Oryzias latipes: one gene and its partner. The protein of the gene in region 2 purifies or fractionates together with the protein of the main gene of each other region. This does not show direct contact. Links are inferred from orthologs where the notes say so. Each region holds a gene or a part of one and is shown on either strand. Other genes may lie near its edges.

Region 1 (4,123 bases), on a different chromosome or scaffold from region 2:
TGCTTTGGTTAGAGTAGGAATTTTAATCTAGGCTAACCATGATGTAAAAATATCACAAACAAGAGAGAGGAGATTCCTTAGCTTCAGCCACTCTTTTGGAAAAGCAATGCCAAGTCCAGAATATCATGTCATTTTCTGTTGGATTCTTTTTCTATCATGATAAAAACAGAAGTTATAGTAACAGGAATGTGTGCATGTTGTGAGAGACATGTTTCATTTGGAATTAAATTATTGAAAATGATATTTTGTTTATTAAGACAAATGTTTTTCACAGTTGCAAGAGACAGCAAAAATATGTTTTGGTATTTTAAAAAACTACTTTCAAGCATTTTTTCCCCCTTAGTTTTTGTAGATTTGGTTTCAGGAAAATTAAATGTACGTGCAAATGCAAGATTTGGGGATTTTGATTGGGGTGCATTTAAAATTTGATGGCAGGGATGTAAAACGTCCTCCAATTCTGGAATGACCTGTGTGTTTACACACACAAAATACAAAAGACTGAATCAAGTTTGATTCATAAGGTTACCAACTTGACTTTGTATCAAATGCATAATAAAGGAAACCAATAGCCATTAAAACAATTTCACAACAACTTAAACATTCTGGTATTAACTAATGTAAAACTCTAGTGTTGGCCATGTTTCTATTGCTGTGCTTGAGTCTAAACTTTTGATTTTATATATTTAAATATAAAACTCAAAATCACATTTTGTCATTATTGTTTATTATTATCATCATTTTATATGTATTGATTGATTTATTGGGGTTTTAATTTTTCTTCATTTATTTATTTCAGGAAGTAATCCGGTAAAACTTTTTTCATATAATTTTTATTGAACTTCAAACAAACATATACACATAGATACAGATGAAAGAAATAAAAAAGAATAAATTACACATAAAATTATTTTAATAAAAACAATATAAAATAAAAATATAACATTAAAATTGTAGTTTACAATACTAGGGATTGTCATACAACATGTGATCTTCAATGAAAGATAATTGTATTGCGTTTTTTGTTATTTATTATGTTCAGAGATTTAAAATATAAACTGATCTCTTTTTGAAATTTATTGAGTAATGGGTTTGGTTTTTGAAAATCTGCTCTTATGAATGAAAAATTTCCCAGATATTAATAAAGTATTGAATGTCAAATCAAATAGATCATCACCAGAAACTACTCCAAATAATATGATGTGCTTTTGTAATTGAATAAAAATAGGAATAGGAAGTAATCCGCTTCATTTGAGCCGCATTGCTTTATGACTGTTGATACCGCAGGTAGGCGGAGCTTCACATCCGGGTGCTGAAGCTGACCCCTGACGTGACCCTGCAGGATTACAAACATGGCGGAGGTAAGAAAGTCTTATACATTTTCACTAAAATTATTTTCTTCTTGTGGGCGGCTGGTTCAGCCAGATTTACTCACACTCCCCTGCTGTAGCTTTTGAACACGACACGGAACGTCAGCGTTTTGTCTCGCTGGACGGGCGCCATTTTTTGGATCCAGACATGTTTGGTAAACTTTGAGCTTAGCTAACGTTAGCTGCGGCGTTAGCGACTATGTTCCGCGGTTTTTGTTTAAAAATAAATTATCAACAAAGGATTTCGTTTTTTCATAAACATAATTCTAAAAGTTTTTTTAAATAACTGTAATTTACGCGTTTTCTTTTCTTTTTCACCTGAAATCTATAAATAGCGAGCTTAAATTAGGAATGCTTTAGCAAAAAAACGAGTAAAGATTATTTAGCTTGCAAAAATTGTAATTTCAATTAGTATGAATAAAGTTTGTCAGCGCTTATTTCTAGAATATTCCTTATAGTTAAAGATGATGCATTTTTAAATTTTGGAATTTATTATAAATTTATATTTACTTATTTATCATATTTTGTCGGAAAAAGACGTGAAATTTATCGTTTTTTTCTTTTTTGTTGTTTCTGAGGTGTTGTAGGAATTTAATTGTACATTTATATTTTCTTATGCCACTTATATTAAACAAAACCCCGCCACACGAACCTGATTATGTAAAGCTGTTCAGCAGCGAACGGTTTCAGTTTCACATCCCATGAATTATTCATTTTATGCCTGTTTTTTTTTTAACCTTTAATACTTACATTTGAGATTTTTTGGTTTTTAAGATTTTGAGAGAGAGAGAGAGAGAGATTTATTTCGGTAATGTACAAACACAATCCTAAAACGTCAACATAAATGTTGAAGAAAATTTTACCTAAAGCAAATAATCCTCCTAATTTTTTGTTTTTTATTCCCACTTGTTACATGTTTGGCTCTTGTTTTGTTGTCATGTATTTTTTTATTCATGTTGTGTGTATTTCTGTCTTGTATTGTCTCATTCAGTACATCTTTGTGTTATGATGCCTGGATGTGTTCTGTAATGGTTTCATCTGTATTGAACTTTTTTATTTGACTAACTTTTCTTCCTTTTTTTCTCTCTAGCCTTCGCTGGGGAACTCGAGCCCAGGTACACATGGTACTAAATGCTTACACATAATTTGTAGAGGAATTTGTTTAAAAAAATAAAAAGTAAAAGCTGGTTTCCCCATCTTTGTTCTTATTTTAATGGTCTCTAAGGCATACATACATTCTGGGCTGTTTTGTTAATATTTAGGGTTACACAATATTTTGTTATGTCAAATTTCTAAAATTGGTATTATATATTGATAAATGACTTTTTGGTTCAAAAATGCTCCTTTGTTTCCTTTTTTTACTTGCACTTTCCAAGGAGGTTCAGCAGGTTCTGATGACCATGATTTTGACCCCACCGCTGAGATGCTGGTGCATGACTTTGATGATGAACGCACACTGGAGGAGGAAGAAAGGCTGGAGGCGACAGACGACACCAATGTTAATGAGATTGAAGACCTTGCACGGGTTTGTTTTATTTTAAATTGTAAGACCTTTTGCTAAATGTAATGTTATATTTCTGGTGGTATTTATTATAGTTATGAAAACCCTGTTTGTTTGTGTGTTTTTAACCTGATTTTTAAAATTTGTCTTTAATCTAGTGTGATATTTTTAATTGAAATAGTTACTTTTAACTTGTAACTAATAATGGGAATGATATATTATTCATGGATCTGATATATTTTTACATAAACGAACACATTTTCATTTCCCATCATTGTAATGCTGCGTTAACTCCAAACACGATTTGCGTCGGCCGCCTATGTTTGGAAGCGTGGCTTGTGGGAGGAGCTACCACCAAATGTTTTTGGCCTGATTGCTACAGGGAGCGGTGTCTGTGTGCATCTCATTTACGATGCATGGAAGACCCCACTTTGTCAAAGTTCAGAGATTTGAACTCTGGACGCAACACTCAAATGGCGCTGCTGCCGGACCGACGTGCCGCGCCCGATGCCCAAATCGCGCCACAGGGCCTCTGACAGCATTTGAATATTGATTTAACCTTGAAACTGGACGTCTTTATCACACCAATAACGTTTTTCCTCCTGGTCACAACCTTTAGGCTAATTTTAAAATTGAAAAAGTTCAATCTCTCCTAAAGAAAGATAGACAAACAACAAACTTGTTTTTTTCTATAAACTGAGGATTTAATAGATTCACATTGTGTCAGAGGGCAACTTTCATCACCATTCAATGTCTTACTGTGAATCAGTAATAATAGGAAGTGAACTAAACTCAGCTTTATTTTTAATAGGAAGGTGAGATGCCCATACATGAGCTGCTGAGCCTTTATGGCTATGGGGGTAGATCACCAGCAGAGGAGGAAGAGGAGGAGGAGGAAGAGGAGGAGGAAGAACCTGAGGATGAGGACGACGAGGAAGAGGACGAAGAGGAGGATCTTGATAACGATGAAAGCAGCAGAAGCACTGGGGAGCTGAAAAGAACTGAGGTAGTTTTTAGCTGTGGTCTCACTGGTTTGCGGATTTTTTTCAATGCAATTTAGTATGTTTTTTAATTTTTTTTAACAGCAGGTTGTGTCCTGCGTCCTGATTGGCTGTAGGCCTTTGCCAATCAATATCTTCTGTGCCGTGGCTCTATAATCTGTTCAGTTTGCCAAATTTACAATTTTGATCGCGAGCAGATCTCTTTCATTCCAAAATACTGGACTTATTTTTCTTTGAAAGTTTAAACTTTGAGA
Region 2 (4,226 bases):
TTCCAGAAAAACGGTCTTCTGAATGCTTCAACATACCAAGAGACGTGGACAATTCCAAGCCTATGAGGAGAGTCTGGGGAAGGTGGCTTCCTGTGGCAACATGAGCGCATGAGCGCCTGGTTTTGTACAAAAGCAGGGTCCACCAAAGACATGGATCGGATCTGCACAGAGTCCTGACATCAACTCAACACCTTTGGGACGAAATAGAGCAAAACCTATGACCTAAACGGAAAGGTCAAGCATTCCCAATAAGTTTGTAAAAATCTCTCATTTCAGATGTTATAGCTGCAAAGGCAGTTATCTGAAAGGAAGTCACTAATGCACAAAATCAAACAAATGTAAAAGCTAATTTTCCAAACATAACACACCTTTCTGTATTCATTTTTGTGTGATAAGTTCTTTGTTTTTCTTTTAAATTGAAAAATGTTTTTATCATATAAAACACTGTTCTGTGGGCATGAAAATTGCTTTACAAATAAAGTTAGATTTGAATTGAAAAACCAGAAATGTTGGTTTGGCCAAATTTAAAGGGAAAATAAACTGTTTATCAACAACACGAGTTTTTCCATTTAAAACGCAATAGAAGCTTTTATTATTACTCTTGCCTGGTGTAATAATAAAATGTAACTAAATACAATTATTTTTGCATCACGTGTATCTAATATCGATTTAGCATTCAAAGTTGGTAGCCTCGGGAAGAAAGGTTAGTCAAGATAGCTAATCTGGGAGTAAAAGAAGATTAGGAAAGTGTAGGTAATCCACATGTGTTATCTTAACCTAGGTGGTTCAATTTTTAGAGATAGAAACAAACAAACAATACAAATCACACATTTTTATTAATTTGTTTTACCTTAAACTAGCTAACCTCCTCGACTGTTAGCTAACGTTAGCTACCAACTAAACGCTCGTGCCTAAAATCTACGGTCCGATCCAAAGAGGATCGGCTCCCAGCCACAGAACCAAAGCTCCACAATTTTTGGAAACTTTGCGCTTATTTCTATACGTACCTTTGTCTCGTGGTGTTCGGTGATTTGTAGCGTCTCAAACAGAAGAATCAACTCCGAAGGCACACTGCTGACAACATGATCTCATCTCGTGGCCGCTGCTGTGCTACTGCCCTCGATTTTTTGTGTTTACTTCTATCGCCTCGTTTCTCCGTAGAGAGTGAAATTCATCACAATGAATCACAGACCGCCAGTTTGACATACGAAACCGACTTCGAATCGGTTTCCACGCGCAACTTTTTGTGGAAAACGGCCACGAGCCACGAGCACGTACACTGGTTTCTGATCAGTGATTCGGAATCAGTGTGCTTCGAAGGGGCGGGGCTGGAGCTGTGACGTAGCACGTTCAGCCGACGTGCTTCGGGGAAACATGTCGGCGTCCCACACAACGACAAAGGTAGCAACTGCAAAACGGGTTTACGAGCCCTTTTTACGCCTTTCTATTCTATTTTTACATACAAATGCGCATTAGTTTATTGGACATAATGAAACACAAGAATCCCGCATACCGTTAGCGTATTTGTGTATGTATAGATAAGAATTATTGTCTTGTAAGCAGTGTTAGGATGCTAGCAGTGCTAGCATGTAACAGTTATAAATGAGTATTTAGTCAACATTAATTCCTACACTTGACTCCCATTTATGACTATTTGCTACACATTCAACCCTTTAAATATATTTTTTTAATGTTTTAAATTATTCCACTATTTATCACGGAGTTCGTTCTTGTTGTTCTGTACGCTAAGTTCATCGTTTAAAATAGAAAACAAAGTGCACGAAAATTAATTTGTATTTAAGAAATATATATTTTTAAATGATTTTTGTGTTTATATTTGTGTGAAAGAGAAAGCTGGATATCTCTTGTTATGGGCTGGTTGACATGGCAACCGGGAATATAGGAGTTAGCATCGCCGGGAGGTGAAATTTGAAAAGAAAGTCTTAAGTTTTTAGATCAATCTTTTGTGTCATCATTTTTTAAATATAATTGTTAGATGGTATTTAAGTAACTAAAGCAGATTGCCATCCTACATACTTAGTTTTATCCTCAGCAAAGATTTAGGAGTAAAGCATTGATTTATGTGGAGAAAATATTATTATTACTAGTGTTTTTTTCTGGCAACATCAATTGAAAAAAACATTTTTTTTTCAACAAATAGTTTCCTATCAGTGTAAAAAATATGTGTTTTTTTTACTAGCTGTTTTCTCAGAGTCCATCACCTCGTGATAAACTGCAGTAAATGCATGACTTCTTGGGTTATTTTTTCTTTTAATCAGACACGTTTTGTGTTTTTTCACATACCTGACATGTTTTGGCGGCATCTGAGTCGTGATCAGGTGGTGGGGATGTGACAGGTGGAGCAGAGGAAATACTGTTATTTATAATAATGGTATTTCCTCTGCTCCACCTGTCACAACACCACCACCTGATAACGAGTCTGATGAAGGCAGAAGTGATTCCGCCGAAACGTGTCAGGTACATTCAGGAACATAAATATTTGGACATAGACAAATTCTTTCTAATTTAGTTTTTGTACATTACCACAGTGAATTTTAAATAAAACCACTTAGATGCCATTGAAGTGCAGACGTTCAGCTTTTATTCCATGGGTTGAACAAAAAGATTGCATAAAAATGTGAAAAACTAAAGCATTTTTTGAACACAATCCCTTCATTTCATGGGCTAATAAGTTATTGGACAACTGACTTCCATGCTATTGCATGGGCAGGTGTGGGCAATTCCCTTGTTATGTCATTATGAGTGAAGCAGATAAAAGGCCTGGAGTTGATTAGAGGACTCGTGCTTGCATTTTGAAGAGTTTGCTGTGAACAGACAACATGCGGTCAAAGGAGCTCTCCATGCAGGTGAAAGGAGCCATCATTAAGCTGGGAAAACAGAAAAAAACAATGCGAGAAATTGCTACAGTATTAGGAGTGGAAAAATCAACAGTGTGGTACATCCTGAGAAAAAAAGAAAGCACTGGTGAACTCAGTAACGCAAAAAGACCTGGACGGCCACGGAAGACAACAGTGGTGGATGATTGCAGAATCATTTCCATGGTGAAGAAGAACCCGTTCACAACAGCCAACCAAGTGAACAACACTCTCCAGGAGGTAGGCGTATCAATATCCAAGTCTACCATAAAAAGAAGAGTGCATGAAAGTAGATACAGAGGGTACACTGCAAGATGCAAGCCACTCATAATCCTCAAGAATAGGAAGGCTAGATTGGACTTTGCTAAAAAGCATCTAAAAAAGCCAGCACAGTTCTGGAAAAACATTCTTTGGATGAAACCAAAATCAACCTCTAACAGAATGATGGCAAGAGAAAAGTATGGCGAAGGCGTGGAGAAGCTCATGATCCAAAGCTCACTACATCATCAGTAAAACACGATGGAGGCAGTGTGATGGTCTGTGCATGCTTGACTGCTAGTGGCACTGGGACACTAGTGTTTATTGATGACGTGACACAGGACAGTAGCAGCCTAATGAATTCTGAGGTGTTCAGAGACAGACTGTCTGCGCAGATCCAGGTGAATGCAGCCAAACTGATTGGGTGGCGTTTCATAATCCAGATGGACAACGACCCAAAACATACAGCCAAAGCAACTCAGGAGTTTATTAAAGCAAAGAAGTGGAATATTCTTGAATGGCCAAGTCAGTCGCCTGATCTTAACCCAATTGAGCAGCATTTCACTTGTTGAAGACTAAACTTCAGACAGAAAGGCCCACAAACAAACAGCAACTGAAAGCCGCTGCAGTAAAGGCCTGGCAGAACATTCAGAAGGAGAAAATCCAGCATCTCGTGATGTCCATGAGTTCAAGACTTCAGGCTGTCATTGCCAACAAAGGATTTTAAGCCAAATATTAGTAATGACCATTTCATTTGTCCAATTACTTACGAGCCCATGAAAAGAAGGGATCGTGTTTAAAAAATGCTTTAGTTTTTCACATTTTTATGGAGTCTTTTTGTTCAACCCATGGAATAAAAGCTGAAAGTCTGCACTTCAATGGCATCTGAGTTGTTTGATTTAAAATTCACTGTGGTAATTTACAGAAACTAAATTAGAAAAAAATGTGTCTGTGTCCAAATATTTAGGGTCCTGACAAAACACAAACCATGTCTGATAAAAAAAAAATAACCCAAGGAGTCAGTTAATCTTATAGACACAATGAACTTTATTGAATATCCATGGTTTCGGTTTCTGAAAATCTCTTTACTGG

What was found.
Region 1: the proteins of ehmt2 (region 2) and mier1 purify together in Homo sapiens (co-immunoprecipitation; 3 studies listed by BioGRID and IntAct, with this or other methods). This does not show direct contact. The link is inferred for Oryzias latipes from reciprocal best matches to the Homo sapiens genes EHMT2 and MIER1.

The regions. Positions count from the first base shown.
Region 1 is NC_019875.2:16,593,159-16,597,281, forward strand, and holds the start of mier1 (mesoderm induction early response protein 1), read left to right. Parts: upstream 1-1,319; 5' UTR 1,320-1,349; coding exon 1,350-1,358; intron 1,359-1,394; exon of another isoform or gene 1,395-1,522; intron 1,523-2,457; coding exon 2,458-2,491; intron 2,492-2,743; coding exon 2,744-2,892; intron 2,893-3,679; coding exon 3,680-3,874; intron 3,875-4,123. UniProt on the Homo sapiens protein: Transcriptional repressor regulating the expression of a number of genes including SP1 target genes. Probably functions through recruitment of HDAC1 a histone deacetylase involved in chromatin silencing.
Region 2 is NC_019869.2:5,431,792-5,436,017, reverse strand, and holds the start of ehmt2 (histone-lysine N-methyltransferase EHMT2), read left to right. Parts: upstream 1-1,328; 5' UTR 1,329-1,374; coding exon 1,375-1,401; intron 1,402-4,226. UniProt on the Homo sapiens protein: Histone methyltransferase that specifically mono- and dimethylates 'Lys-9' of histone H3 (H3K9me1 and H3K9me2, respectively) in euchromatin.